Notamacropus eugenii: one gene and its partners. The protein of the gene in region 1 interacts with the protein of each later gene in a biochemical or structural test. Links are inferred from orthologs where the notes say so. Each region holds a gene or a part of one and is shown in the gene's direction. Other genes may lie near its edges.

Region 1 (8,321 bases):
AGCTGGCACCAGCACAACCCTGTTACTATACCTCCTAGTACCTAAAAGTATATAATGCTTTGCAGCTATAAGGGATGATTTGCCTGGGCTCCTTGGGAATACTCCCTGGCTATATGCACCTCTCACCTCCCTGGTATCCTGCAGGTCCTGGTGAATGTGCTGACTATGAACAGAAATCTGAGTGACAGCCTGTCCCTAGGGCGTCTCCACCCTGAGCTCCAATCCAACATCCTTCAGGTGGACAGTGAGTACAGGGAGAAGGGCAGGCTGGTGGGGTCCTGATTCTGGAACCTAGGTGGGTCACATTAACAGCAAGTACAACCCCCAGGTGCCTCCTGGAGAAGGGGACTTTTAGGCTTTGCTTTCCTTTGTTGCCTCAGAACACCCCCCCCCACACACACACACATACCGCCTCTCTTATCCCCCCCAACCCTACCCCCTACCTGCAGGAACACCTTCTGGGAATTTATGAGAACATTGGAGGGATTATGGGACTCTTGAGTTTGTATCCCTATTCATTAACAGTGTTGCTGGCACATCGTAAGTGCTTAATAAATGCTTGTTAATTGACTCATTACTTATTCTCCCCTTGTCCTGGATGCTTAGTCAACTTTGCTGAGATAATAATCCTTTATGTACTCAGGGTTCTTTATGAGGAAGAAAACTAAAGACAGGAGTTGTTATCATCATCGTTCATTATTTAGAGGCACAATTTCTCAGAACACTTCTTAAAAATTTTGAATTGATATATTTTATTTTTGTTTTGGGTTCATTTCCAATTATATCCTTTTCCCCTCCCCAGACAGCTTGTAGACAAGATAATGGGTACAGGTAGGGACTGAACTTGTGATTTCATTGGTATAGGGAACTCTTGGGTGAGAAAATTTCCTTCTCTTCTACTTTTTGTCTTAGAGAGTTATCTAGGACACAGGTGTCACACTCAGGACTAGTGGGTCACATGTAGCCCTCAATACTTCTGAGTACTCCAAAATCAGATCACAATGTCATTGGGAAATGTTTGACAAAATAAATAAAAATGCAATCGAGCACATATAGTGTTCACATATGGCTTTCAAAGTCAACATGCTAGGTGATGCAGTGCTAGACCTGGAGTCAGGAAGACTCATCTTCCTGAATTCAAACCTGGCCTCAGACACTTACTAGCTTTATGACCCTGAGCAATTCACTTTAACCCTATTTGCCTCAATTTCCTCATCTGCAAAATGAGCTGAACAAGGAAATGGCAAACTACCCCAGTATCTTTGCCAAGAGAACCCCAAATGGGGTCTATGAAAGGGCTGGACAAGACTGAAAACGACTGAACCACTTGCTGTACCTTCCTCCAGGTTGTTACGGGGAGGAAAGGGCTTTGTAAACTTGAAAAGGCTAAAAAGACAGTATTGTCTTTTAAATTGATGTTATTTGTGAATATAAAAGATTAAAGGTCAAGTTCATCTACAAATCAGTTAAAAGCCTTGAGTCTTCTCCCTCCAGTTCTCTATGGGTGGTCTTTCTTTCCTGAGGTAGGCATTTCCTCTCTTCTCAGGGTTTAGAGCCCTCAAGGGCTGGGAAGGGGTGGGGGGAATACCCCATAAACCAATTTAGGTCTAGAGGGCCCTCCTGGCCAGCTTCTGTGAAGAGCTTTAAGCCAGGGCTGGCCAAATGAAGGCAGGCAGTTGGCAGAATTGCTGTTTGTAAAGTTTGTCCCAGACACCAACAGCTACCCCTTTTCTCTGCCCTTTTCCCACCTCAGTGGTGGCCCTTCTCTCTCAACCTCCCTTCTGACCCCCCAGTGCCCTCTTGCCTCCCACCTACCCAAAGACTGCTCTTGGGAAGTGCTTTGAGATCTAAGATAATAATTATTTAGCCACTTCCTCCTTTCTGGGCCTTAGGTTCCCTACCTTTAAAATAAGGAAGGTTGGACTAGACTCCCCTTCTAATACTAATTTATATATGACAGTAGTCATGTGACTTTAGGCCAATCCCTTCACCTCCCAAGGTCTCATTCCCTTCATCCTTATTTTCCCGTTGGCCTGGACTAATTCTATAGCATTGTAGTTGGTCTCCCAGCCTCAAGCCCATCTCTTTTCTGGTCTATCCTTCATATAACTGTCAAAGAAATATTTCCAAAAGACCTCAGTAAGTGCTTGATTGATTGATCTGTAAAATGGAGAAGTAGGACTAATGCTAGTGACTGATAACTCCATAATAAACTAGTTGTGTGGCACTGGGCAAGTCCCACAGTTAAGCTGTCCGGGATTGTTTCCCGTGTAAAATGTGAGGATTAGAGTAGATGATCTCTACAATCCCTTCCTACTCGGACAGTTTATAATTTTCCCATGGGAATTTATTCCATCAATCTGATCTCTGGAGAATGTTGGGATTTGTCCCTATTAAGGGATAAATGGGAGGACTGGAGAGAAATTTGGGAAGTAATGGAGATTTTTCTAGGGGTGCTGAAATTGTTTGTCTACATCTTGCCCTGGACAGACAAGCTTGTCTAGTCCTGAAAAATAAATCATCTTGGCCAGTGCTTGTGGGTTTATATGAGTTTACTGAACACCCAGAAGAGAGTTCTGTACACAGGAGATACTTAATAAATGTTTGAATTGATTTTGTTGCATGTGATTTCTTTCAGGTGAATTCACAGAGGAAGAGGTTGAGTTCCTGGAGGCTAGGGGCCATCGGGTTGAGAAGGTAGACGTTCTGTCCTGGGTCCATGGAGGTCGGAGAACCAACAATTTCATCATTGGGGTGAAGGATCCTCGAAGCCCTGATGGAGCGGGTGCCACCATCTTGTAGGGCTGGGTGGGTGGGGCAGGGGCAGGCGCTGCAGCACAAATACCCCTTTGCATGTTCCAAGAGCCCCTTGGAGCCCTGCCTCCCCCTGGGCAAGGGAGGGAGGGAGGAGGGACAGGCACAGAGTGGGTCTGAAGACCAGAGGTTCCCAGTTGGTGCCTTCGAGCTCTGCCCAGGGCCTGGGGACCAGAGGAGATTTATATCAAACCCAATTCCAGAATAATTGACAAATTCCACAGTTGATGGGTGTGGTGGCCTGACAGACCTCAGGCAAGAAGACTAGAAGAATGGTTCTGCCTCCTTCCAATACTTCCTACTCCTGAGAGGCTTAGGGAAATGCTTGCTTAAAAACAAAACAAAAACTCCCCAAAAAAACCCCACCCAGGTGGCCCGAATCATCCTTCCTTCCCACCAACCCTTGACATCTTTCCCCATCCCTCTCCCCTGTCTCATTTCTTAAATGACTTTTTTTTTAACTGACCATCCAGAAGCAAGGGGCCCTCTTTCTCCTTCTCTCTGTCCCAGAAGTAGTAAGGGTCTGAGGGAGAGGTGCAGGGAGAAGGGGCCACATAAGGGTGGGAGGGAGGGAGGGTGGGTAACAGCTCAGGGGCTTCCACTTCCCAAGAGGAATTAAAGAGAAAGTTGCTTAAGAAATCTCTTCTCTGGCTTGGTCTGTTAGCTGGTCTCCAGGTCAAAGTTGGGACAGATGGCTGAATTTTTGGGAGAGCGAAGTCTCCTCACTTAGACTTCTAATAGGAGCACTTTAGGCTGTCTGCAACCTTGGAGGCCATTTAGACCATCTCTCTACCTCTGGGCAATGTCACCCCTAACTCAGTCCATAAACAATGCCAGTCCCATGAAGTTCACCAAGAAGGACCCTAGGGAGGAAAAATGAATCTTCTCAACCTCTCTTTAATTTTCCTTAGTCTCTTAGGCTGTTCCTGGAAATAGGGTGGAGTAGGGCATGCCATCCAGCACTTTTTTCCTTATAGCTCATTGAGTATTAATGCTGGAAACTTTGACCCTCTAGTTGTACAGAGATGGAAATTTAGGCCCAGAGAAAGGAGAGCACATGCCCAGGTCTTCAACCTTGATTTGACAGAGATGGTACTCAAAGCACAGAATCCAAGAGTTGAAAGGAACCCCAAAGGTCATCCAGTCTGACTGAGAACTGAACGGAAATTCCTTCTTCAACAACCCTGAAAGGTGGAGCTCTCCATGTTAACAAGATTTTATTGACCCCTAAATCTCCTTCCCTGTAACTTTCACCCGCCATTGCTCCTACTTTTCTCTGCAGCCAAAAGGACAAAGCTACCTCTTCCACGTGACAGCTCTTCACATGCCTGAAGACACTGACCATGCTTCCCCTAAGTCCTTTCTTCTCGTGGTTAAGCCATCTGAGTTCCTTCCACTTGTGCGCTCTTGTCCACCTAGGCCTCCTGACTCCCTTCCAGGAGATGCACAGCCCTGCTCTCAGGTGTCAGCAGGGGCCGTTCCTGCTGGGCCCCCAGCCGCCCCAAGTCACCGAGATGACCTCTCTCTCCCTAATTTCAGTTCTGTCTCTAGCTTCTCACCGGGCCACTCTCAAGTCCTGGGATCCCGCGACCCTACTTAGATATCCCACTAGTCCCCCAAAGTGAACACTGGGAGGGAATGGAGACCACCCAGTCTCCTAGAGGTGAAGGCACTTGGGCCAGTCATTCAGAATGTAAGAGCCAGAGCTGAGGACGCAAAGCCTAGGAGCGAGACTTTGGGCCGGTTCTGTCCCTGCCTCCTCGGGGCCAGGGGCAGAGGGTCCAGGTTCGGAAGAACCAACCAGCAGGCAGAAGAACGAGACCGATTCCTGGCTACCCTTTCCTTAAGAGGGCAAACCAGATGGGGCGCAGTCCACGCAGCTGGGGATTGCGAAAAGATGGGGGTTACTGTGGGCTCCGGACTGTGGGGAGTCGGGGAATGCGCAGTCCGGAGAACCTGGAGATCAAGGGTTCAGCGCTGCCAAGGAGTAACTTGGGGCTCAGGAAAGAAAAACTGCCGAAGATCGGGGAGGAAAAAATCCGAGGTTCATCCAGGAGGGACCAGGGCGCGGTGGGGTGGGGCGGGCCCGGGCGCGCCTGCGTGCGGCCGCCCCGAGCTCCCGGGGACGTTCGCTCCGGTCACGTGCGCGAGGCCCCCGCCTGCCCGGCCCCGCCCCGCTCCTCCCCCTCCCTCTCCCCCTCCCCTCCCCCTCCCGGGCCCCGGTCCCCTCCCCTCCCCCTCCCCGCCGGGTCTGAGGCCGCTGCCGGGTCCGGGAGTCCCGGTGTCCCGCTGTCCGGCTCTCCGGGCCGCGGGGACGGACAGAGCGGCGCTCGCAGGCCACGGGCCAGAGTGGGCCGCCGTCGGAGGCCCCTGGCAGGGCCGCAGGTGAGGCAGAGGCTGGAGCTCGGGCCGGGTCCGGGGGGGTGGGGTGGGACTGGACGGGACGCGAATGGGACCAGCCTTGTCCCTGGTCCCGGGAAAATGGCGCCGCCGCGCGGGGCGGATGACAGACCCGGCCCGGCCGGGAGCCGCCGCCCGCCCGCCGCCAGCCACCGGGCTCGCTCGTGTCCCCGCCGCCGCCGCCATGTTGGGGAGCTGGCCCCGGCCTGCGGGGAGCCGGGGCTGGGGGGGGGGGGGCCGGGGCCCGGCCTGCGGCGGTGCGGGGTGGCCTCGCCGCGGTGCCCGAGCCCGAGCTCCGCCTCCCAACCCCCCAGCGGGGCCAGGGGAGGCAGGTGTCCAAGCCCCGGCCCGGGCGGGCGTGCAGGGCAGGCCCACCTCATTGTGTGCCCGGGTTACCGGGCCGGGTGTGTGTGCGCGAGTGTGCCCCGGGGGGAGGGCAGGAAGGACACGGGAAGGCCACTGAGGCAGAGCCCGGGCTGGGGACTTTGACAGCGGGAGTCGCAAAGGAACAAGCTTCTCCCTCCCAGGGGCTTCACGGTGCCTGAAGGTGGGGATAAGGAAGGAAGCCTCGGGATGGCCGGGGCCTGGCCGTGTTGTGTGTACGAAACAGCCGTGGCATTGTGTGGGGGTAATGACCCAGGGCACTCTCCAGGGGAGGACCCGAATAGGGGTCACACAGGGAGGTCACCCGTGGGGGCTGAGGAAGCGGTGTAGACCCAGCGATGTGGAGCCCGTGGTTGGGAGTCGGGACTAACGCCAGTGTGGGCAGCCCACCACGAGCCCGCTGAGCTTCGTGCGCTTTAAACGCGGACTCTGGTTGTCTGGAGCCCCGTGCGGGGCGCTGTCCTCAGAGCGCTTGAAATCGAGCCTCCGAGGCTTACAGCTGCACAGAGACTTTTGGGACACCTGGTGTAGGGACATACAGAAGAAATACAAAGAAACCGGGGAGGGAAGGATCGGGCCGTCGGGAAAGGTTGAGGAGCAGGTCTTGATCGCTGCTTCTTGAGGGAAGGGAGGCTTGTCTTCCAGGCAGGGGGGATGGCCGGTACAGAGACACAGGTGGCCAGTGGAGGTGCCATGGAGGAAGAACAGATATTCAGTTTGTAGATTGGGAAGGGGAGTAATGTATAACAAGGTTGGAGAGATAGATTGGGGCCGGGTTGTGAAGGGTTTTAAAAGCCAGAGAGAGAAGTTATTGGTGTAATAATTAATAAGGAGCAATTGAGAGGTTTTGAATGGATGAATGACCTGATTCTTAAACTCTGTGCCTTAGGAAAATTTATCTGTTGTGTGAAGCAACATGAATGGTGTTGGAAAGACCTTGGACTGTAGGTGCTAGTTCAAGCTCGGCCACTACTTATGTGATTTAGGATGTCAGTTTGTTTCATCTAGGTCTCAGTTTCCTCATTTGCAAACTTGGAGGATTGGAGTAATGATCTCTGCTGAAATTTTATTAACTCCCTTTCCCCAGAATCACTTTTTCTTTTCTTGCCCTTTTATTCTTTCACTAAAAAGAACTTTCTCAGCCCTTTCAATTTCCTCATAATCTCTCTCCTTCCCTCCAGTCGCTGAAGTAAAGTATTCTGACTAAGGCTAATTCTTTTTACCTAATCTCATTTCTTCCTTTGAAGACCTTACTTAAAGAAGTCAACCCCTCTGAGTCACTCATCTCTTCTGTCTCTGCTCCACTGGAACCTTCTCATCAGTTTACAGATGTGTTCATTTTGACACATCCACTTTTATTTAGCTACTATCCTGTCTTTTTCCCTTATGCTGCTAAACGTCTTGAAAAAAATTGTCTCTCCCAGATGCCTACACACCCTCTTTTTGGTTCCCTTCTATCTACTGAAACTTTCCTCTCTAGGATCACCATTACAATCACCAAATCCAGTGCTTTCCAAACCCCTTGACTTGTCAATGTCTTTTGACACTGTTGACCGGCCTCTTCTATTCAATACTCTTCTCTATTGGCTTCAGAGACCATACTCCAGAGATTTTCTTACCTTTTGATGTGCCCTTCAGTATGTCCTCAACTTGGTCTCAATCCCATAATGACGAAGGGCGAACACACGTGATTTTTCCATTGACAAATGAACATTCATTTCCACGACTTCAACTACTTCCTCTATGCAGACAACTCCAAAATTCTCTCCAATTCTGACCTCTAGATCTGCATTTCCAGTGACCTACAAGAAAGCTTCACCTAGATGTCCTTTTGGCACCTCAATCTAACATGTTAAAACCAGGTTTATTTCTTTTCTTTGGGCTCTCCTCCTGCCTCCCCTATTTTTGTCTGATTCACCACCATTTACTGTGCCTCTTATATTCAAAACTTTGGGGTTGTTAGTCTTTACTTTTCCTCATATCTCATATCCAAGTAGGTACCAAGTATTTTGCCAGTTCCTCTGCAACATCTCATTCATCCATTCTCTCCTCATTCTTTCCAATGATACCACCATAGTACAGGTCCTCATTTCTATTCACTAGTTCTATTTTAGGGACCTTTCTACCTTCTCAAATCCATCCTTCATATTACTGCCAGGGTATGATTTCTTATGTATAGATCAGGTTGCTCTTCTGCTCAAAAAACTTCAATGGTTCTTTATTACCTATCAAGTAAAGTTCAGATTTCTTTGCCAGGAGTTCTAAGTATTCTACAGTTTGGGGCTTTCTACATTTTAAGCCTTGTTTCTTTTTCTTTCCCTTTGCTCACAATGCTTAAAACAAACTATATTACTCAAACACAGATAGTCCTCATTATCCTCATCTGTTGAATCATCAGTAGTCCTTTAGTTCTCAACTCATTTGTCACCTCTTCCATTAAATTTTTCCTGATCAGTAACAATTTTCAGATCTCACACCATTTTTTGTACCATTCTAACTCACATTTATCCCAGCACATTAAGATTTGCAAAGTGCTTTACATATATTATCTCATTCGATCCTCATAACAACACTGAACTAGGTACTGTTATTATCCCCATTTTACAAATGAGAAAACTAAGGCAGATGGACTTGCTCAGAGTCACACAACTAATAAATAAGATAGGATTTGATTTGGGAATGGTCTCCCCTACTTCAAGTCTAGTTTACTAACCTTTATACCA
Region 2 (7,760 bases), on another chromosome or scaffold:
AGGGGAAGAATGTTAACAACGAGGATAGGGATCAAGGAAGGCTTTAGAAAGGAGGCGATGTTTGCCTGAGCCTTGAAGGAAGATTAAGGCAGTGTGAGAGGCACTATGATAGAGTGGGAGTTACTTGGGCTCCTATTTAATCCCTGAGGTGCCTGGCTCTGTGGTCAGGGGTGACTCAATTCACCAGTTTCCTCATTTGTAAATTAGGGAAGGCATCCCTGCCTCACAAAGCTTTTGTGGGGTTCTAGTGAGATAATGTGCATCAAAGTGCTTCACAGATCATAAAACATTGTAGAAATGTTGGCTCTTGTTAGAAGGATTCTGGGAGGAGGAAGGAGAATTATCCAGGAATGTCATTTTGGTGTCTGTATCCCTAGCACCTAGCACAGGGCCTCCCACACAAGAGATACTTGGTAATGTTTGCTAGATGGATGGGTGGGTGGGTGGATGTGAGGAATGGGATGCATGAGTGTCCCGCAGGTGGGATGTGAATTGAGGGAACATCTGGAGGCCCCTTCAGCTGGAACATAGAGGACTGAAAGGCAGTACAGTGAGATAAGACTGGAAAGGTCGTCAGGAGCCAGGCCATGACGGGTGGTCAAGAATGCCAGCCTGAGTCATTTTTGTTTCACAGAGCCAACAGGGAACCTCTGAAGGTTTATGAGCAGGGAACATCATTGTCCAACTATGCCATAGAAGATTTATTTTGCAGCTTTGTGGGCGATGGATTAGAGGGGAAGGACTGGAAATGGGGAAAACAATGAGGACATTCCAGGCAGGAGACAATAAAGGCCTCCTTTCCTTCCTTCCCTCTTTTCTTCTTCCCTCCCTACTCTCTCCCTCCTTGCTTGCTCCCTCCCTTCTCCCTTCCTTCCTTCCTTTCTTCCTTCCTTTTTCCCTCCCTCCTCCCTTATTCCTTCTTCCCTCTCTCTCTCTCCATTCTTGCTCCCTCCCTTTCTTTCTTCCTTCCTTCCTCCCTCCCTTCTTCCTTCCTTTTCCCCTTTTCCTTCTTTCCATCTTCCTTTTTTCCTTTTTTCTTCTTTTCTCCTTTCCTTCCTTCTTTCCTTTTTTTTCCTTTGTTTTCTTCTTTCCTTTTTTCTCTTTTCTTTCTTTTTTCTTTACTTCTTTCCTTTCTTTTTTCCTTCCCTCATTCCTTCTTTCCTCTCTTCCTCCTTTTCTTCTTTCTCTCTTTCCTTTCTTCTTTCCAAAACTACTTATTAAAGTTCCTTCTGTGTTGGAAGCCCTGTAATCAGTTTTGTATTCCCTCATTTCAAGAGTCAGTAAAACAAAATGAATTCCCAAAAGAGTGGTTTGAATTTGACACACATAAACTTTCCACCACCTTTTTTTTCTTGTCTTCTTTCTTTCCTTATATTATTAGACTAAATGCTGGTACCTTTGTTTGTTTTGACACAAAAGACTCATTAGAGGAAAATAATGTTTTTCCCTCCATCCTCAGAGAATGTTACTATTGAGTTTTCTTAGTAAAGCAGGTGTAGTTTGTGTACAGGCTTCTGCCTTTTGGATTCCTCCTAAATTCATCTGAAGAAGTAGGAGAGACCAAGGCAGAGGACCTTTTGACAACAAGTCAAGGGTTAGCATTACTTCACTGCTACTTGTCCTTCCCTGATATTTCTCCCTCCAGGGTCTGCGCAGCCATTTCCAGTGGCTCTTCCTTTTCATGGGGAGCCGTCCCTTCTCCTGGAAGCTTTCTGTTTCTGTTTCCAGTGATCTACGCTTAGGTCAAAACCCTGAGCTTCCCCCCTGCCTGGCCCTTCCTCCTATAGGTCATTCACACCCCTGCCCAGAAGGGCCAACATGAGACCCCAGAAAGAGCCCTGTCCTTGAAATCAGAAAACCAGGGTTCAAGGCCAAGCTCTGCCCCTTAGGAGCTGTGGGATCCAGACCAAGTGACTCATCCTCTCAGATGTGCTGTCTCAAGTCCACTAGGGGTAAATCAGAATCAGCCCACAGAACCAGTGTGAGAAAAGGGGTTTCTAAACTTTCAAGGAGAGACAGAGACAGAATCTAAAAGTATATATATTATATATGTGTGTATGTTCATATTTACACACACATGTAGATTTGGTCTGTTCCTAGGTTGTCACTGGTTTAAGGAATTGATTTTACCAAAGCAGATTGGTAACTGGCAACCTAGAGCCATGGAGATTTGACTGGAGGTCTGAGCAGCTGGGACTTGCCCAGCCATACAAGTCAGTACTTGAACTAAGGTCTTCCGGAGTTTAAGGCTAGCTCTTTGTGGCACACTTTTATACATACATGTATATGAGCATGTGTATAACATGCATATACATGTGTGTTCGTGTGTATTGTATCTGTATGAGTATGTGTGGGGTTTGCATGTAAATGTGTGGTTATATACATATATGATTATAGTAAGTAATGTATGTTACATAGTAAGTACATTGTGTGAAATGTATTTATGGATACATTATAGGGATATAAATAGGTTGTGCATATTATATATGTATACAGATGCAATAATTTCCTCTTCTGTAAAGTAGGGAATAATGATTACATCTACCTCACAGAATTATTGTAAGGATCAAGTAAGATAATGTACAGAAAGCACTTTGCTAATAATTTTAAAGTACCATCTATTTTTAAAAAGTCCTCATTTATTTATTTTGAACATTCTTTTCTTTTTAAACTTTGAGTGTTCCAAATTCTCCCCCTCCCCCCACCTCTTCCACACCCACTGAGAAGGTAAGCGATATGATATCAATCATACATGTGAAATCATGCAAAACATATTTCCATATTAGCCACCTTTCAAGCAAGAAAAATAAAGAAAGTGAGAAAATTATCCTGCAGCTTGCACTCAGAGTTCATCCGTTCTTTCTCTGGAGGTGGATAGCATTATTTCATCGTGAGCAATTTGGAATTGTCTTGTATTATTTTATTGATCAGAGTAGCCAAGTCTGTCACAGTTGATCATCATTACAACACTACTGTTACTGTGTACAATGATCTCCTGGTTCTTCTCACTTCACATCAGTTCATTTAGATCTTCATGTTGGGTTTTTTTTCTGACACCACCCCCCTCATCATTTCTGATGGCACAATAATACTCCATCACAATCATATACCATTCCCCCATTGATGGGTATCCCCTGAATTTCCAAGTCTTTGCTACCACAAAAAGAGATGCTATAATATTTTTATACATATAGATCCTTTTCCTTGTTCTTTGATCTCTTTGGGATACAGACCTAGAAGTTGTATTACTGGGCCAAAAGGTATGCACAGTCTTATAGCCCTTTGAGCCTAGTCCAAGTTGTTTTCCAGAGTGGTTGGGCAAGTTCACAACTCTACAAATGGTTCATTAGCATACCTATTTTTCCCGTCATCTCTTCCAGCATTTGTCATTTCTGATAGGTGTAGATGCTACCTCAGAGTTGTTTTAATTTGCATTTGTCTAATCAATAGTGATTTTAGAACAATTTTTTATGTGATTGTATATAACTTCTGAAAACTCCCCTCTCAGTGGCCATTTATCAGTTGGACTCTTTTTTTATAAATTTGACTCGGTTCCATACTCAGAATACATTTGAGAAATTATTACAGAAATTTGCTTTAAAAATTTTTGATAGTGCTTTATTGTCTATGGTATCTTTTAGCAAAATGTAATGTCCTGGATTATCTCTTTTAGTTAGGTCTATTTTTGCTTTGGTTTTGGTTGAGGACTTGATTACTATCCGCACAACGTTTTTTACTCCAGCTGAAGCATACTAGATTCTGCTCCAGACCTTTATTTAATTCTGTGTGTGACTTTCTGTTTCAAGTGTGTCTCTTATAAACAACATATTATTGAATTCTGGTTTCTAATCCATTCCACTGTATGCTTCCATTTTATGGGTGAGCTCATCCCAGACTCATTCACAGTTGTCGTTACTAACAGTCTATTTCACTCCATCCTATAATCCTCTCTTCTTCCCCCTCCCTCTCATTCTCTCCTCTCTCCCCTTTCTCCCCTCTCTCTGTCCCGTTTCTCCTCAAATTCTTATTTTGCTTCTAACAACTGCCTCCCTTAATGCACCCTCCCCTTTATCAAACCACCTCTTTCTCTTATTCCCTAATCGTCCTGTTTCCCTGTTGAGTAAGTTACATTTCTATATACAACTCAGTGTCTATGTACATATGTATATATATGTATATGCATGTATTTACATATATGTGAGGGGTGAGGGGTGTGTATACGTGTGTCTGTGTGTACACATTTTCTTCATTCTTTCAACCAGTTCTAATGAGTGAAGATCAAGCATTGCTTGCCACTACCATCCGTTTTCCCCCTCCATTGTAAAAGCTCTTCCTTGTACGCCTCTTTTATGTGAGAAAATTTTCCCCATTCTACCTCTCCTTACCCCCTTTTCCCAGTACATCCCTGTTTCTCCCTCCTTAATTTTTTTTGGAGTTCATCCCAAGTAATCAACTCACACCCATGCCCTCAGTTTATTGTAAACTCCTTTCAACTGCTCTAGGCATTACAAAGTTCTTAGGAGTTACAAGTATCATCTTTCCATATAACAATTTAAACAGTTTAACTTTATGGAGTCCCTTATGATGACTCTTTCATGTTTACCTTTTTATACTTCTCTTAAGTGTCAAATTTTCTCTTCAGTTCTGATGTTTTCATCAGTAATGCTTGAATGTCTTTTATTTCATTAAATATGTGTGTGTGTATGTATGTATTTGTCTATTTATTTTTCTCCTGAAGGATTACACTCAGTTTTTCTGGGCAGGTGATTCTTGGTAGTAACCCTATCTTCCTTATTCCAAGCCCTCCACTCCTTTAACATGAAAGCCATTAAATCTTGTATGACCCTGACTGTGACTCCACGATATTTGAATTGTTTATTTCTGACTGCTTGAAACATTTTTTCTCATTGACCTGGAAGCTCTGGAAATGGGTTTAATATTTCTGGGAGTTTTCATTTGGGAATCTTTCAGGCGATGAAAGGTGGATTCTTTCACTCTCTATTTTACCCTCTTGAAGAGAGCTCCTGAAATTGTTGCAGCAGCGGCTACTGTTGCCACTACTGTGTGTGTAGGCTCCAACACGGGACTCCACCCTAGTGACAGACTTCTCCTGCCAACCTCTTAAGTTTTCTTAGGCTGGAAAAATGTCTCACTCCGACTTTTTATTGGCTCTGCTGCACCAAAATTTGATTTCAAGTGCTATTTTTTAAAGTTGTTTGGAGGAGAATGTGGGGAGAATTCACCTCGGTGGTTGCCCCCAATCTGCCATCTTGGCTCCACTCCTTTAAAGTGCCATCTTGATGTGAGCTGTTATTATTCATTTCCTCCTGAGTATAAAGTAGGTTAGTGAATGGCAGCCCCTCAGGTCAATCTATAATCCTGTCAAAGTTGACCAGCCCCAAGTTGGTCCTTAGATACTCTAGGATCCATCTTGTATCAAGATAAAAGACTCCTCACATGGGCTCTGTTATATCACAGACTGGTTCACTACCTTACTACCTCCACTGAAAGGTGGATTCTTTCACTCTCTATTTTACCCTCTTGAAGAGAGCTCCTGAAATTGTTGCAGCAGCGGCTACTGTTGCCAGTACCAATGAGAAACCATAACCAGGTGTGTTCCTTGTGAGTGTACACTACATCTCTTTAGAAAATGGATAGCCACTGCTTTCTCCATGTGACTGTAAGCTTTGCTCTACTCTATAGTAATAGGGTTCCCTTAGCATTCTGTTCAACCATAATGCAAGTATCTCCCTTTGGTCAGAGTAGAATTGGCTGAGAAAGTGAAAAGAGATGAATCAAATCCATTCCTGCACAGACATTGCCATGTGCCAAAGGACTCCACAGAGCAGCTATTACCCTACATCTCAATCTTCCTTCCAATGCCACTTTCCCAAACCCTTCCCCTTCCATGTTGGATGATGAGCAATCTACTTATTACTACCTCTTCTGGAGGGAATCCAGAGCCCCTCATTCACTCTGACCCTCAGACCCACTCCTACCCTCCCAAGGGTTGTAGGCCTGGCTTTGCTGCTTACTCTGAGCAGAGAGTCACCAGTTACACTCCTTCCAGTAAGGTGGAAAAATCACTTTGCCTTACCATCTTCCCTGCCCCTGGCTTCCAAAGAACTCCCATTTGTCTCCTGATTTGAGGTGAGCTCTTTGAAATCAGGGACCGTCTTACTTTTCTATTTGTATCTCCAGTACATAGCTGTATTTCACACATAGTAAGTGCACCAGGCCTTACCATATAGGCATCTAGATGGCCCAGTGGATAGGACACTGAGTCTGGAATCAGGAAGACATGAGTTCAAATCCAGCCTCAGACATTTACTAGCTGTGAGACCCTTCACAATCACTTAACTGCCTTTTGCTTCAATTTCCTCATCTGTAAAATGGGGATAATAACAGCACCTCCCTCCCAGGGGTGTTGTGAGAATCGAATGAGGTAATGATTGTAAAGTGCTTCACACAGTACCTGTCACAGAGTAAGCACCATATAAGTGTCAACTCATTATTATTACCCAGATTACACTCTGGCCCTTCAGTACTTGCCATTTGCCCTGAAAAGACACCCTCCAGGCCCCTACACACCACCATCTGACTTGGCAACAAACCCTCAGGACTCCTGGCCTTTCGTATCTATCTTGTTGATACCTGCTAATGAGCACCAGACCTTGTGTCTGAACTCTCCTTGACATGTTGTGTCCCACAATTAGAAGGTGATCTCCTTGAGAACAAAGATTGTCTCACTTTTCTGTATGAATCCCCAATGCTTAGCATAGGAAAAATGCTTTATAAATGCCTTTTTGCTCATTTATTCATTATTTTATCCTTAAATCTATAAACACCATCACAAGTAGCTGCCAGGAAATGTCCCCTTTCCAGAGCCATGGGGCCCTTGGCTCCTGGCCCTGTGATGTCCCCTTCTCTTCTAAGGGACCCCCCAGGAGTCCAGAAGGATCTGCAGGAATCCACAGTTGGCCATCCCTCCCATCAGCATGGACAGGGTGGGATAGGGCCATGGCTCATTCCAGGCTCGGAACGTCCTCCAGACAGACAGAGAGAAGGGGCTGGAACGACAAGGGAAGAGGCCACAGTCGCGGGCCTTGCTCCAGAACTACCCTTGGCCAGTTCTCTTTTTTAGAAGGCAGAGAAAACACACTTGACAGCAGGCACTTTGTGCTGCCCCAACAGGTTAATCCTGACCTTTTCAATGCACATTTTTACCAGCCATTAACAGCATGCTATTTTCTGCTCAGCTGTCTCCTAAAAAGCTTTAATTCATCACATTAGACAGTGGGCACCTACTCTTTCTCCTATCCATGTGGTCCTGCCCAGCTTGCCCAGCTCTTGTCATTTTATCAGATTTATTCTTTTTCTCTTTGACAGTTGGGCAGCACTGAGGGAATGAAAGTTTAAATGAGTTTTAATATAGCCAGATAAATAGCAACTGGAGTATGTGTGTTGGACTTCGAGTTGGGAGGATCTGAGTTCAAATCCAGCCTGAACCACTTGCTGATTGTGTGACTCTGGGCAAATGACTTTCGTCTCTCTCAGCCTCAGTTTCCTCATCTGTGAAGTGGAGGCAATAATAGCACCCACCTTCCCAGGGTTGTAAGGATTAAATGAAATACCCTAGGTATTTCCTTTCTAGAAAGGAAAGGGTGATATTAAAAGCTGAGGCAACAGCCATTGGTGAGAAGTTATTGTGATGAAGTCAGGATAGCTAAGTAAGGATTTATAAAGGAAAACTAAAGAGC
Region 3 (8,259 bases), on another chromosome or scaffold:
GCTCCCTACCCTTTACTACTGGTGTTCCTAACTTACAGATATAGTGGGAAATACTATTCCTATAAAACTGCTGGTAAAGGAAGAAGACAGGTGAGCTGTGGCCCTTTGCCTTGAACCCCCTACCCTATACCTTACTGTGACCATCTCTCTCTCTCTCTCTTTCCTCTCTTTACCTATCTTTCTTTCCTCACTTCCCCCCTCCTTTAATATCCCCTCATTATCTGTAAAGCTTTGATCTTATTCCTTCAATATGTCCCTCACTGAGCTGTAACTCCTCTCAATTGCCCCTTCTCTACCTAATCTCACCAATGGTTAGGAAACATTTGAGGACTGTAGAGCCAGCCACTCAGACAGTGGAGCCCATAGTGGGAGAGAAGAATATTTGGGGGATGAGGATGTCAGCATTCAGAGTTTAGACCCTCCCCTTCTGGCAAAGAGTTCTGGATAACTGTCTCTGGGGCCTCCCTTTTCCCCATTTCCAGTTCCAGACTAGAAGACATCCTCTATAGTTCCCTCCTTCTTCCTCCCACTTTCCCTCCTCCCACACCAATTCTCTGTCTCAAAGATCAGGAAAGGGAAGATTTTCCTTGGGGTTAGACTACAGTTCCAGTCTATCTCTATTCCAGTTTTTGTTTCAATATCTTCTTCCCTGAACAATTTCTTTGGAAACCCTTGACTCTCTTTAGCCAGCTGCTTTCTTCTCTTGAACTCAGAGACAGTCTTCCCCTGCCAGGACAACTCCAACTTCCCACCTGGCCAAGCCCACTGTAAGGATAGGACTGCCACATCATTATTTATTTATGATATGATATTTATGATATGATGAGAGGACTGGGTCTTCATGGTTGTCATCATGAAAGCCGTAGTCAAACACATTCGAGCTGCCAAAAGTTCTCTTCCAATATTAATTCAACCTCATTGTTACCCCACTACTCCACCTCCCCCCATCCTTTCTTACAAATTCACTCATAACAAGGAACCTAAGCTACTGTTTCTTAGACCCATTCCCCTTTCCTCCTTCACTTCCAGAGTTAGACAGAACCAAGGGAAGAAAGGCCCTGAGTATTGAAGAAAGGGCCAATTTCTACCCATACCAGGGAAAAGCCCATGAAGAAAAAATGACATGGCAACATCTGGTGCAGCTGCAGAGAATTTGGAAAGGAGTCTGGGAAAGGTCAATGAGGAGTCAGGGAATATTGGTTGAGGAAGTTTCACCGCCCAACTAGGAAAGGGTGTCAGGAAGACAGTGATAGAAATTCTGTTTGTTACATGGCACAGGAATGTCAAAGAACTTCTTGGAGTAGGGCACCTAAGAGATATCCACCTATTTTCTTTCAAAGGGAGACCAAGGCTCTAGGCTAGATGCCACTATTATAGCACTGCTTCCTGAAAATATGCCCAGGTGCCAACTGAGGGGAGTCAACTGGCAACAGATGTGGGAAAGAGAAGTTCAGCAAAGTGCCCCCCACACACACACAAAGACACACACACAAATAGCTAACACTAGGTCTAGCTCACCTCAGAAGTGACTGCCTTCCATTCCCACCCCTAACTCCTAGCCTATATCTTCCTTTCTCTATATTCAGAGAGGAGGATGTCCATAGCTCTGTGCTTCTTTACAAGGATCAATTTCTAAGGGAAGCCAAGAATTCCCTTCATTCACCCCTGGGAGGGGATTTTCACTTTCTTTGTTTCTCTTCATTTGTGCCTGTCCCATCTCTATAACTCCCCAAAAGAAATGGGTATGGCCAATTCCTCCCACCAGCCAGGAGAAAAAAGAAGTGAAAGATAGAAACTATCCAAGGTGCTGAAAAGGAAAAATTGAACCCAGACCTTAGAGCAGCTTCACCTTGTCTCAGTCACCAGAATTCCTGAGATAATCTCCTATCCTCACTCACCCAACATGTTCCCTTTATCAGGAAGAGAAAAATCAGCCACATGACCTTGGCACCTAGACACAGAAAGGAGCCACATGTACCCAGGTCTTGATAATTGTTCCCTCTGCCATATTATCCCTTTTTCCATCTCCTTGCCCCATATTCTGATTGCAAAGGACCAACCCTCTCCTAGACAAAGTGTGTCATCATCATCACCCTTCTTCTAGACTTAAGGTATGACCTTTAATCTAGAGGTTAAAGGTGGGAATAATTAATAGTTAATAAGTGTGCAGGGGGATTGTAATGAGTTTGGTGTAAATGAAATTTGGCAGACATTTATGAGAAGAGGAGAGAGTTCATACCGAAGGTTGGAATCCGAGAGAGAATTTGGGATCCATGTTTGTCTCACTTGGAGATAACCCAGAAAAATCTGGTTTGGTGGAGGGCAGAGGTCAAACCTCTTCAACCTCCCTCTTGTTTTATATATAAGGTCATTCTTTCGCCTGTCCTGTGTTGAGCTTTCTTATTAAGTCTTTTCCCATAGTCCTCCCCCAAATTCCCTTTCCTGTCTTTTGAGTGCCCAAGTGGGGTAAAGGGAAATCAGAGATTGGGGAGAAAACATGAGTAATTATTGTGGGGGACTTAAGTGGCCTCCTTAGTACTTATCAGGGTAATTGCTGGATAATTTCCCAACTGTCTGCCTTTCCCAGTCCCTTATTCCTCCAAGTCTACCAAATCTATTTCCTCCCTCCCCTTGCCCCCAACAGCCCATCCCTACCTCCACCATACACTTCTCTTCTTTCCTTTTCCTAGGATCCCAATAACCAATCTCCTTTCTGAAAAATAAATATTCCTGATAAGAAAAATACCTATATTCCTGATTTCATCAACCATCTGTACCTCAGTTTCCCCTGCTCTCCTTTTCCTCCTCCCCAGTGCTCAGAGGTCTGTCAAGCAGTGAGGTAATGCCAAGACAGCTTGGAGAGTTTCCTTCACATTTCATCTGCTGGTACCAACTCTCTTTAGGCTAGGGGAGTGCTGGGGGTGGGGGAGACAGAGAGCTTATTTCCACAACTGGCTAGTTGATGGCCAGTATCCCCCACCTGTCACTAGGATATGAAATGATTACAGGGGCATGGAGTTGTATGAGGTGTTGGCTCTTAGGCAGAGGTCTTCTTAGGGAGATAACTATCTAGAATCCCTATTGATAGGGGAATAGGAGAGGGAGAAATTGTGGGGGTACACCATAATAACAGAAAGAGGGAAAGAGGAGGTGTTTGGATACAGCTTTTGTCAACAATAGCCAGAGAACAGGCTGTTCCTTAGACCACCCTTTCTCAGGTTCCTTTTCCTGTCTCTCCTATCCTTAATATACTATAGTCTCCTATTCCCTTCTCCCTTCTCTTCCTTTCCACCACCTCAGAGTACAGGGGCAGCTAGGTGGTGCAGTGGATAAAGCACCAGTGCAGGAGTCAGGAGGAGCTGAGTTCTAATCTCACCTCACACACTTGACACTCATTAGCTGTGTGACCTTGAGCAAGTCACTTAACCCCAATTGCCTCATCCTGGGTCATCTCTAGTGATCCTGATGAATATCTGGTCACTGGATTCAGATAGTTCTGGAGGAGAAGTAAGGCTAGTGACCTGCACAGCCCTCCCTCACTCAAAACAAAGTCAAGTGCAAGTCAGGTCATTATTTCTCTGATGGCATGGTCTTCTGCGGCAATGGAGGACAAACACACCTCACAGTACAAGGGAAGATGGAGGGATAGGAAAATCCATATTCACTATTAAGCTAAGATGGTGAAATCTCTCCCATCCTCACTATGAGAGGCAGCGGGTTGAATAAGAAGAATAAGAAAAAGCTATAGATTTGTCATCAGATGACCTCAGTTTAAGATCCTGACTCTCTGTGTGATCTTGGGCAAGTCACTTGAACTCTCTTGACCTCACTTTCCTCATCAGTAAAATGAAGATGTAAGTCCAGAGTAGTTTCTACAAAGGGTTGGTCTAGATGATCTCAGAGACCATTTCCAGCTCTGAAACTGTGATGTTATGATCACTGCATTCCAAAGAGTGTCTCCTCTTCCTCCTCTTGATCCCATGAGAGATCTGAAGGGCAAACCTTCTTGGAAGACAAGCCCCCAGGGACGACCTACCATGAGAGAATTACCTCTAAAAAGGAGAGGTTTGGACAATCTAATCAACTCAGGCTGTTGTTAGTCAGACAAATTTTCCAAATGTGATCGACCAAACTTCATCCCCACCTCCTCATGAGAAGGGAGCAGGGGAAGAGGGGCCCCACCCTGGGGAGCCCGTGGGAAGGCAATGGCCTCCGCTGGTAAAACTGGGCTAATGACAGCAGGGGAACCGGCAGGGCCAGAGTGGGGGGCTGGGGTAATTAGAGCTTTGCCCAACCTGGAAGATCCCAAGATGAAAAGGGCTTTGGCGTCTCTGGGTTGGTTTAATGTCCATGAATACAGCTGTATGTGTATGCATAGGAAGGTGTGTGGGGTGGGGTGGGGGTGGGGGACCTGACACATTGGAGAGGTCTCTTTTTGGATGACTCCTACAATTTGCATATACACAAAGGATTCTGGGTTCTAGGTTCTGGATTCCAGTTCGGTTCTCCACCCCGTTGAAAAAAAAAAATCAAAATTCTCCCAGCATCACGATGAGATATAAGAGCAGGACGGGAGAGACCTCTGCATGTATCCTGCAGGTACATAGTCCTTTCCAGGTCTCTTCCTTTTGACCAAAGGGGCCGTGTTTTTACTTTTCTCTACATCACCAGAGCCGAGCACAGTGCCTGGCTTCATAGTACTCCCTGAGCCAATGCTTGTGGACTGACTAACCGACGGCATCCTCCCTCCTGGGCTGCGGAGGGTCTTCAGAAACATGGCTGGGGACAAGAAGTGGCCTCCAGGAGGGAGCCTAGCGAAAGAAGGAGGGCTCAGAGTGGGACCGGGAGAAGCGTCGGGTGGGAGCGAGCGTCAGAGAGCAAATTAGCGAGAAGCGAGCGATTCCCGAGGGAGCGATCCGGCAGGGATGGGCACTTGTGAGTGAGCCGGCGTGGGATAGGATGGGGCGAGGGGGGACCCGCCAGGCGTGAATGGACTGAGGGCATAGCGCACTCGGTCCGAGTAAGATGAAGAAGGTGAGAGGAGATAGGGGCGGGGCCGGGCCGGGCTCGGCACAGCCGACCTGGCCGGGATGGCCCGGGCTGGGAGGGGAGGCCGCCGGGCTGCTAGGCTCGGCCTGCAGGGAGCAGCAGTGAGCCAGGCCCGGGCGGCGCGGAGCCTGGAGCCCGAGCCCGAGCCCGAGCCCGAGCCCGAGCGGAGCGGGGCGGGGGAGGGAGGAGCTAGCACGGCCGCCGCCTCTGCCGGAGGAGCCGCGGGGCCGCCACACTTGCCCCCCTCCCCCTCTCTCACTCGCACTCACACCCGGGGACAGGAGGCGGGCGGCCCCGGCCCCACCGGTCCCCCATGGCCACCCCCGGGCCCCGGCGCTGAGCCACCCGCCACCCCTCCCCACGCACAGCCCAGCCCGCCACGCCGAGGTAAGGGGGAGGGGGAGGGGGTATTAATATGCAAATACATTGCGATTGATTATGCAAAGCCACCGGACGCTCGCTGGCTGGGGTCCTAGTCCCGGCTGGGGGCGTCCCTGGGGACCCGCTGCCTGCACAGCCAGCCCCTGGGTGACACTGTCAGTGCTGGGGTGCTTGCAACTTACCAACTCCCCGGAGTAAATGGAGGACTCGGCTGGCGGGGGAGGGGGACGGGACGGTTGCAGCGGGTTGGTGGCCAGGAGGGGGGCGGTGGTGCTGCAGGGGCAGATGGCGTCCGGGCCTCGCCCCCCACACCCCGCCTCCGCCGCCCCGCGGGTCCCCGGCCTCTCCCGGTCCCGTCTGCTACGCATTGTCGGAGCCGCGGCCCCGGCTGCCAGGCGGCCCCTGTTCCCCCGCCAGCCGCCGCCGCCGCCGCGGTTTGTTTACGGTTCGGGCGGCCTGTTTCTCCCCCCACCCTCCGCCCTCCCGACTGCCGGGGCCGAGCTGCTTTTGCAAAGCTTCCTCCGGCGGGAGTGGGGGGGGGGGGGGGTTGCAGCCTCCCCGGGGCTCGAGGACCGCCCCAGCCCCTTCACATGGGGCTGCATGGCCCTCCAGTTGCAACACTCCCAAATGCAAAAACGCGGCTGGGGGAAGAAAAAAGAGGAGTTGGTAGGAGAACTCCGGGGTCCCCGGGAAGCGCCCGGAGAGTTGCATGCTCCAGGCCACTTGGGGAAGTGCGAGACCAACAGGGAGGGAGCTGAGGGGCTTGCAACGTGTCCCTCGAGCCCCTGGCAGATGGGGTTTCCCCCTCTTCTGGATGGGGAAAAGGCCTAAGGGGTGGCGGGGTCAGAGTTTGAAGGGAGGGTGAGGGAGGAGGAGCGAGGCGCGGTTGGTAGTACTCCGGGAGCCCTGACCTGGCAGAAGCTGGCTGACGGGAGGAGGAAGGGGGGCTTGTCCGGGAGGTGAAGGGTAGGGGGAGGCGGTGAAAGCCAGACACACCGGGATAGGCGCTGACACGGGGACGCGGGGCGTCAAGGACAGGAGGGTGATAGACACACCCACACTGGGCCAGGAAGACCGAACACTCGTGAGCAAGTGCACACGCTGAGATGGACACACCCACAGGGGGACCCAAGGACAGGCAGACAGACACGGGCACATACCCACATACAGACTCCTATACACAGACATCGCTATACATAGTCCCAGGTGCAGTCACAACCGACAAACAGATACTGTATTTATGGAGGACCTAGTGTCCAGGCACCACTGCCTTGCTTTTCATTGAGAGAGATACCAAGAATAGATACATTCTTGCCTTCAAGGAGTTTAATCAATCTATAAATATTTATTAATTGCTTCCCAGGTGCCAGGCACTCTGCTAATCGAAAAGGATACAAAAAGAGGCAAAAGACAGGCCCTCTCCTCAAGGAGTTTACATTGTAACTGAGGAGAGAAGATTGCCCCCAAGAATAAAAGCTATGTCAGACAAATGCACATATATAGTAATATACATACTCTCTTACTCCAAGGATTCTTAACCTATGGGCCATATTTTTTTTGTTTTGTTTTTTTTAGAAGCTTATTTCAATATAGATAGTTTCTTTTTATAATCTTATACATTTAAAAACAACATTCTGAGAAGGGTGGATAAGCATCACCAGGTTGACAAAGGGTTCCATGACACTGAAAAAGGTTAAGAACAACTCTGTATTTAGATTGTAAATCCCTTTAGGGCAAGGATAGTATTATTTTGTACCCATTTATACCCAACAGCATTTATCCCAATGTTTCCTGTATAATAGCTGCTCTGTAAGTATTTGTTGATTGAATGATAAGAGTAGCAGATTTACTGTGTCACACATGCAGGCATTCACAGACACAAATGCACACATTCTTTCTCTGTCTCATGCTTTTTCCTGTGTCTCCCTCCTCTAAGGGCATGGACAATTTTAAAGGAGATTAGGAAGAGAAATTTTCGTGAGAGAGGGGAGGTAAGGGGTTTCTGAGGACTGAGACAATAGCCCCAGACAATAACCCTGCCTAAGCTGCCTTGACAACTGGGGGCAGCAAGGTTGTCTTTAGGGGAATCAGACTTAACTCTCTGCCTCCCACTTCCCCACCCTAAAAGTGTCTTGGGGAACTCATTTGCCTGAATCTTTCCTGCTTACCCCAAAGCCTCCCCATAACCTCAACTAGATGTTTTTTTACTATCCGTTTAGATGTTACCTTCTGTCCTTCTGTTCAAATTGCTGTGTTTTTATGTGTGTTTTTGTCCTTTTATCTGTTTATCTCTCTGTCTGGTCTCTTTCTCTTTTAAGCTCTATATTTCTTTTCTCCTGTCACTTTCTTTTGAGTGTCTCCCAGTCTTTGCATGTCTCAGCATTATAATCTTCTGTCCTAGAGCTAGGGACTAGCTAGGACATCCTTCATATTTCTCTGGTTGCTAATAGTGAGCTTTTCCCTGCTGCCTCCCCAGGGGTCAGCAGGAGGTTGGGGTGGGGGTGGGGGGTGGAAGGGGCTCTGCTGGCTTCTCAGGACATCCTGGATTTCCTTACCAAGAGAAAAGCACAGCTGTGGCCACCAGGGTTTGGGGAATGGGGGTGGGGAAGGGTGCTTCTGTTCAACCAGGCCTCTCTACCTGGCTAAGCTAAGCCTAGATACAGGACCTAAATAAGGGGAGCTCTAGGAACTATTGGGGTTTCCTAATGTCAATGAGGATTCCTGTCTTTTTGGCTTTCCAGGGCTCCCTATTCAATTCTAAAGCTTAGTAGGTAAGAGTATTGGTGTCTCCTATACCCCACCCCATCCTAACGTCTATGGGAATTAGCA
Region 4 (7,601 bases), about 100 Mb from region 1:
TCCTTACTTGTAAAATGAGGGAATTGTATCCCAGTTGTTCTACCTGGCTCCTATGGTTCCTTCTTGTTACTCATCCTATTATTCCAGGACTTGAGGCTGTATATTACAGAGCAGCCACTCAGTCTCCATGAGGACAACCACGTGGACGATAACACTTGTGTGAACTACCACACCCAGGTGTGTCAGGAAAGGGCTTTGTCAACCTGAAAGCACTCTAAAAATGTGGACTATTACTTTTATTATTAAAGTGGAAGGTCAGGGGAGGGGAACAGAGGAAGTCTATGAAACCTTTAAGGGTAGGAGGAAGGAAAGCAGAAGTTTGTTCACCAGATCCCAGAGGGGTGAGGAAGACACTCTCACATCCTTCTTCCAAACACCCCTCTCTTCCAGACTTTCCTCTTTCTATCAAAGGCACCATCATTTTTCCAGTCTCTCAGGTTTGTAACCTTGACATCATCCTCAAGGCTTCACTTTCACTCAACTTGTACCTCCAACCAGCTGCCAAATCTTGCTCATTCTACTTCCATAGCATTTGTCATAGATGACCCATTCTCTCCATTTATGCATCTAACGCCTTAGTTCACACCCTCATCCCCTCTCACCTAGATGATTGCAATGGCCTCTTCACCGGTCTTCCTACCTCAGATCTCTTCCCATTCCAGTCCTTTCTCCACACTTTGACTAAAGGGATTTTCCTTGTGCACAGATCTGACCATGCCAATCCTCTGCTCCTTTAACTCCAGTGACTCCCTATTGCTTTAGAGTCAAATAAATACTCCTCTAGTTTTGAAAGCCCTTCACAACTTGGCCCCAACCTGTCTTTTTCAGCCTCCCTTCACATGTCTCCCCTCCAGCACTCCACAAGTTAGCCAAATTGGTCTCCTCTTTGTTCTTCACATACCACACTCCATCCCCTATCTACGTGCCTTTGCATTGGTCTTCCCACCCCCTTCTCCCTAGGCCTAGAATTTACTCCTTCCTCACCTCTGCTTCATAGACTCCTTCTCCTCCATTGTTGTTATTCAGTCATGTCCAATTCTACATCATCCCATGGACTTTTGAACGTGATATTTTCTTGGCAAAGATACTGGACTGTTTTGCCACTCCCTTCTCCATTGCACCTTCATTTTACAGATGAGGAACTGAGGCAAATAGGAGTTAAGTGGCTTGCCCAGAATCACAGAGCTAGTAAGTGTCTGAGGCCAGATTTAAACTCAGATCTAACTGACTCCAAGCTCTATCCATTGTGCTGCCTAGCTGCCCCCTTTCCTCCTTGAAGAGACAGCAAAGCTGCCACCTTGCATGTGAAGCCTTTCCTGATCATACCTAACTGCCAGGGCTACTTTGTATTTACTTGTATTTACACAAGTAAATACAGGTTTTTGTATAGATTTATTTGTATTCCTTTACTTTATATTCATTTTTATATATTTATACAGATCCTAGCCTTCCCTATGAGAATGTAAGCTCTTTTCAAGTAGGGAGCGTCACCTCTGTTATACTGGTATTCTTGGCACAGTGCCTTGTACACAACAGTCACTTCGTAAATTCTTGTTGATTGATTGGTGATGCTCAAGAAGTTTAGATTCATTCAGAACATACTCAGGGAAACCCTTCCTCACACAAGGGCTATGGAGTTTGTTACCCCCAACTGATGTCATAATAGGGAATGTAAGATGAGATTTAGATCCCAGGTCATAGATCTAGAAAGATAACTAAAGGTATGGAATGCAATGGGGAGAAAATCCCGGACTCAGAGGTCTGAGACAGAACCAGAATGAGATGGACAAATGGAGTTTTTCCCTAGGACATGGGCATCGAAAGATGCATTCTCCCTGCTGTCACTGAGTCCTCATGCTTCCCCTACTGTTCTTCTGAGGCCACTCTGCTGCTGGACCTGACAGCGCTCATAGTAGGTTTATCCTCTTCTATACTTTACCTCTTCCCCCACAGTTGAACATAGCCAAGTACAGTTTTGGCTACTTACACATCTCGTCAAGGACTGGTTGAGTTCTGAATCTGCCACTAATTAGCTGTGTGACTTTAGGTAAGTCACATCTCTGGGACTCAGTTTTTCCATCTGTAAAATGAGGACATTGCACCTAGATGTAGAGCTGGAAGAGACCTTACAGCCCGTCTAGTCAGACACCCTTATTTTTCAGATGGAGGAAATGTGACCCAGAGAAATTGAATGACTTTCCCAAGATCGTATAGGTGGTTACAGCAAAGCCAGGATTTGAATCCAGGTCTTCTGACTCAAATGAACTCCTAAGGTCCCATCAGCACCTGACATTTAGCTTTTTAAGAGGAACTGGGATGTATGGGGGCATATTCCTAAATTTTAAGGTCTCTCTGAACCCTTTCTCAGAAAATCCCTTATTCAGAGACAGAATATGAAGCTGGAAAGCCTGTATATATTATCTTAGGTGACATGTTTAAATGTTCTTAAAGCTTTTTTAAAAAAGAACAATGAAAGAAGAAGAGATTGAATCTTAGAATGCAAGAAAGCATAGCTGAAAATTACCTTGGAAATAGAATACATCTCCCCTATTGCACAGATGGGAAAAGTGAGACCCAGAGAAGAGAGTTGATACATGACCAGCAACTGATAGAGCTAGATCTAGAAGCTACCTCTTGTCTCTTAGGTCAGTCCTTTTTCCAATATACTACAGCAGGAAGACTCAAGTTAACGTGAGAGTGAGGGAGACCCTGGGTCATTGAGAGGTAAGGAGGACAAGCCACAGTGTGGTGGAAAGAGCACTAGGCATAGATGAACTTGTTCATAATGAGCTGGGTGACCTCAGCTCCTTCTCCCAACCTTGGTTTCTTCCTTGTCTATAAAATGGAAGACTAGATGACCTTGAAGATCTGCCTTTCAGCTTGACTACTCTAGCTGCTAATATCCATTCCAGTTCTGCCATTCTATGTCCTAAGGACTCTTCTAACCTTGGCATTATGTGATTCTGTGACATTTATAACAAATCTTGTTACCACGAACATCTACTTCAGGATTGCCTATATTCTGCATGACTAGGTGGTACACTGGACAGAGTGATAGACTTGAAGTGAGGAACTCCTGAGTTCAAATCCAGCTTATGAGCTGTGTGAACCCGGAAGTCACTTAACCTCTTTGTAACTCAGTTTTTCCCATCTGCCAAATGGGGATAATAATAGCACTCACTTCCCAGGATTGTTGTAAGGATCAAATGATTTAGTAGCCATAAAGTACTTTTCAAGTCCTAAAATACTATTTAAATGCTAGCTATTATTATTTGACTTTGTAATATTATTTTGGTTTTTTGAGGCAGTCGGGATTAAGTGGCTTGCCCAGGGTCTGCTTATCGAATGCTAATCCATCAGCAAGTATTTATTAAGCACCCACTATGTGCCCAGCTCAGACAAGTACAAAGAGTAAAACTGGCCTATTGTCGTTGAGCTTACTGAGCTAATGGAGGGGACAGCTAGCACATGTTAAAATATATGTTGATTAGAAGTCAATGCACCAGAAAGTTTGATCATTTGAGAAACCAGTGAGGTAGAGCACTGGTCTTTGAGTCAGGGGACCAGGGTTCATATCCTGGCCCAGGCATTAGCTGTGTGAATATGAAAAGTCATCTGAAGTCTTCTTGACTCCAGATGGTAATGATAATGATAATAATAATATTTAAATAAACCTATAGAAATATGAGTTATTGCCATAAGTTAGCCCAACCTTAACAGATGAGGAAACTGAGTCAGAGGGAGGTTCACAATGCTCCATTTTGAAGGAACCTCAGAGGTCATCTTGTCCAACTAAGATTTGGGGAAGGTGCAATCTGCCCAAGATGACACAGGTCATAGGTACCAGAAGTGGTGTTTGAACCTGGGTCCTTTGAATGCACAGCCAGTGTTCTTTCTGTGGTATCACTCTGGGAGGTAACTTGTGCAGCATCACATCGCTAGTAAATGACAGAGATGAAGACTGAACTCGGGTCTAATGACTGCCAGTTTTGGGCTGTTTGTCCTGTGCCATGCTGAGTGTCAGGAAGCAGAAAATTAGACTGATGAGCTGGGGGCTGTCATTAGCACAGGGGATGTCAGCCTCAGCCCCCAATCCAAAAGCCAACCTAGACATGATGGCTCCCATAAGAAAGGGAAAAACCCCAGGCAAGCCTAACCCAACCTTAGCTTGCCCAGCCCCATGATGTCTACCAGAGGGTAAGAAGATTAAAGATTAACCCCTACCCCTCCCTAGTCTCTTGCCTCCACCCCTCAGGAAAGGCTAGGCCCAGAGCTCTGTAAATCCTCTCAGAGAAATGTTTGAAATCTAGGAGGACAGATAGAGGGATTGGGGCAGAGGCAGAGGGGGAAGAGAGGCAGGGTGGGAGGCCAAAGTGGCCCAATAGGAAGTGGGCCTGTTTCTGGTCAGGCGGCCTAACGAGAGGGAACTGGCCACTCTGGACAGGCAGGAGAGAATGCGTCTCTCCAAAGCCCTTGTCGACATGGAGATGGCCGATTACAGTGCTGCCTTGGACCCAGCCTACACTACTCTGGAATTTGAGAATGTGCAGGTGTTGACCATGGGCACTGGTAAGTCTGCCTGGAGGGGCTCTTAGGGGAGCAGGGGCAGGTGGTGTGCCCAAATGTGGACAACCACATACAGATGTATAAAGAAAGATGTGTTATCTTGTACAAATACAAAGAGGTGTATATACTGAGGTTCTCCATGACTCTGCCAAGGCCTGGAACTATATGTACAGGTGTGTGTGTGTGTGTGTGTATGTGTGTGTGTGTGTGTGTGTGTGTGTGTGTGTGTGTGTGTGTGTGTGTGTGTGTGTGTACGTACGTGTGCCCATGCAGAGGTGTATGTGCAGAGGTCAGCTGGACTGGGTTGTTTCCCCTCGCTAGTCCTCATTTTCCTCAAATGTAAAATGACGAAGTTGAATCAGATCATCTCTAAGGTTTTTCTTCCAGCTCTAATAGTCCGTGATCTACATGGAGATATATATATACAGGTGCCTGGTTAGAAACCTTTATGGGACATGGAGTATACTGGCAATCTTGATTGCGTCTTCACTTTACTGAGTCCACTAGGCCAGGGCTTTGCCTTGCCTGGCTTCCTTCTAGTCCTTGCTAAAATCCTTTTGCCGAAAGTCTTTCCCAATCCTTCTTAATTCTGGTACTTTCCCTCTATTGATTGTTTTCAAATTATCCTGCAATATTTTGATCTATGTAGTTGTTTGCATGCTATCTCCCCCATTAGATTGAAATGAGAGACTGTCTTTTGCCTTTTTTTGTATCCTTGGTGCTTTGCATGGTGCTTGGCACATAGTAGGTGCTTAATAAATACTTATTGGCTGATTGATTGATTTAGTTGGTATCAGGGGCCTCTTGTCTCTGAGAGTGGATTGAGACACCAGGTCTATAGCTCCTACATTCCCCAGTTTGGAGGAAGGTGGAGCAATAAGGAAAGAAACCCAGGGACTTAGGGGGACAGGAAAGTGTATTCTAAGAGAAGGCAGATGGGGGAAGGGGGAGCCAGTATATCACGAGGTGCCCCAGGTTAACCATTGGAGAGAAACTAGGAGAAAGATTTTTTGGCAAAGTGGTTTCAAGATATAAGAAGTCACTTGGGCATTGTGTGTATATAGAGATCTGTATATGTGTCTCATATTTGCATATGCACGAGTTCTATTTTTAAATTCATTTGTATGTATGCTTATGACATTGCTGCTATGTATAAGTCAGGCTACAAATCTGTCTGTGTTGGCATATGAATCCAGATCTCTGGGTGCCTATGTTGCTGTTCCACATATATGCTCACATATATGTACAGGCATACACATACAGACTTTGGACTATGTGGAAGAATTGTTGGCTTTGGAATCACAGAATCTAGTTTGAAATCTTGGCCCTGCCAATTACTATCTGTGTGACCTTGGGGGAGTCACTTTTCTCTTTGGCCTCAGTTTCTTTATCTGTAAAATGAATAGGGTCAGACTAGATGACCACCAACCTCCCATCCAACACTAGATAGAAAAGCCCAGATGCTTTTAAACTTGCATAGACATATAAACTGAGCCCTCCAAGAAGTGTTTGCTGATCCTGGGATCAGAGATAATCAAATATTCCTTCTAGCCCCACACTGGCCCAAGGAAAATAAAGCCTGAAGCTGAAGCTGGAAGGTGATGGGACCATGAAGCAAAAAGTTCCAAGGCCACAGTAGCTTAATGATCTCCTTTACAGTGATCTCTAAGAAAACTTGGTAACTGTGCAGTCCAAAGCTGGAGACAAGTATGGAGACAGGGAAGCAGCTTAGATTCAGGCAAAGAGCCCAGGACTGGTCCCAAATCTGCTACTAACTGGCTGTGTAACTATGGGCAAGTCCCTTTCCTTTTACTGGGCTGTTGTTTTCTCCTCTGTGAAATGGGGATAAAGAATGGCACCCCCATTATTCCCCCTCTCCCAAGGGAGATATTGGTGATCCTATGATCAGCAAAACAGAGAAAGAGAAACCTGTTGGAATGACTAAGAGCACAAACTGGCCCTGCACAACCATTCCATCTCCTAATGAGAACACACCGCTGGCTGTGGCCCAAGGTCTGGTCGTTGCCCGGGTCTGTGAGGAAGGTACTTTACAAATTGTTGAGCATGGTAAGAAAGTGTTCTACTACTATTACTAAGGATGCCCAGGCTTTGGGGTGAGCTGTTAACCTTGAGTGTCCAAGCCTCAATCATTCAAGGTTAGTCACTTAATCTTTTTGTGTGGACCCCTTTTGCAGTCTGGTGAAGCTTATGTACTCCTTCTTGGAATGTTTTTCTTTTTAAAATTTATAATGGAAGGAAATGTCAAATTTCAGTTAGGGGTTAGTGAAAATAAAGATGATTTTTCCCCCCATCCAAGTTCTTATGGACCCTCTGGAGATCTGGGGCCTTTCCTGCAGGTTCTTAGGTCCACAAGAAGCCCTTTCCTGGGGATTCCTAGGAAGCCTTTGCTTCCTTCCTCTAGGAATGGGTAGGGATGCTGCTAACCGAGGCCAGACTCTGGCTGACTGGGTTCTACAGGCTTTACAGTATATAAAGCACATTCCTCCCAGAAGCTTGGGAATGCAAGTAATTATCATCTCCTTTGTATAGTTTAAGAAACAGCCTCAGTGACTAGCTTTAGGTCATTCCACAGGAAGAAGACTCAGACCCAGGTCTTTTGACCCCCAAGTCCAATGTCTTATTCATTGCCTTGATGCTTCCCCCAGAGCAGTAATGACAAGCTTCTCCTATGCCTCCACTTCCGGTGGCTTCTGTATGTTTCCTACAAGGACAGTCGAGAGGCAGCTAACAAGCTAGGGTCAGGGTCAAGAGGCTGGGCTCCCCAGCAGCCTAGGTCATAGGAGTTCAGATTGTTATAGTATCTTCCTCAAGAACCAAAGGGGCAGGTTCCAACCATGGCCCTTCTGTGCAGGGCCCATCCCCCACCCCAAGTGCAGCTGGATATGAAACTTAGGAAATGCAAACAGCTCCCTTTTTGCCTAAACTAGGGAAGCAAGAGTATTCTGGTGTGGTCCGAAGAGCCCGTAACTGGATTTGAAGAACTCCAGGTTCTACATGTCACATTATGTGACCTT

What was found.
Region 2: the proteins of NCOA6 (region 1) and THRB form a complex in vitro, tested with the Homo sapiens proteins (2 studies listed by BioGRID). The link is inferred for Notamacropus eugenii from reciprocal best matches to the Homo sapiens genes NCOA6 and THRB.
Region 3: the proteins of NCOA6 (region 1) and THRA form a complex in vitro, tested with the Homo sapiens proteins (2 studies listed by BioGRID). The link is inferred for Notamacropus eugenii from reciprocal best matches to the Homo sapiens genes NCOA6 and THRA.
Region 4: the proteins of NCOA6 (region 1) and HNF4A form a complex in vitro, tested with the Homo sapiens proteins (2 studies listed by BioGRID). The link is inferred for Notamacropus eugenii from reciprocal best matches to the Homo sapiens genes NCOA6 and HNF4A.

The regions. Positions count from the first base shown.
Region 1 is NC_092872.1:418,876,690-418,885,010, reverse strand, and holds the start of NCOA6 (nuclear receptor coactivator 6), read left to right. Parts: upstream 1-5,063; 5' UTR 5,064-5,199; intron 5,200-8,321. Other genes in the region: GGT7 (glutathione hydrolase 7), read left to right, coding at 145-244, 2,639-2,802. UniProt on the Homo sapiens protein: Nuclear receptor coactivator that directly binds nuclear receptors and stimulates the transcriptional activities in a hormone-dependent fashion. Coactivates expression in an agonist- and AF2-dependent manner.
Region 2 is NC_092874.1:30,392,702-30,400,461, forward strand, and holds the start of THRB (thyroid hormone receptor beta), read left to right. Parts: upstream 1-4,659; 5' UTR 4,660-7,760.
Region 3 is NC_092873.1:355,631,186-355,639,444, forward strand, and holds the start of THRA (thyroid hormone receptor alpha), read left to right. Parts: upstream 1-5,211; 5' UTR 5,212-5,436; intron 5,437-5,612; exon of another isoform or gene 5,613-5,726; intron 5,727-8,259.
Region 4 is NC_092872.1:520,747,037-520,754,637, forward strand, and holds the start of HNF4A (hepatocyte nuclear factor 4-alpha), read left to right. Parts: upstream 1-4,291; 5' UTR 4,292-4,454; coding exon 4,455-4,569; intron 4,570-7,601. UniProt on the Homo sapiens protein: Transcriptional regulator which controls the expression of hepatic genes during the transition of endodermal cells to hepatic progenitor cells, facilitating the recruitment of RNA pol II to the promoters of target genes. Activates the transcription of CYP2C38.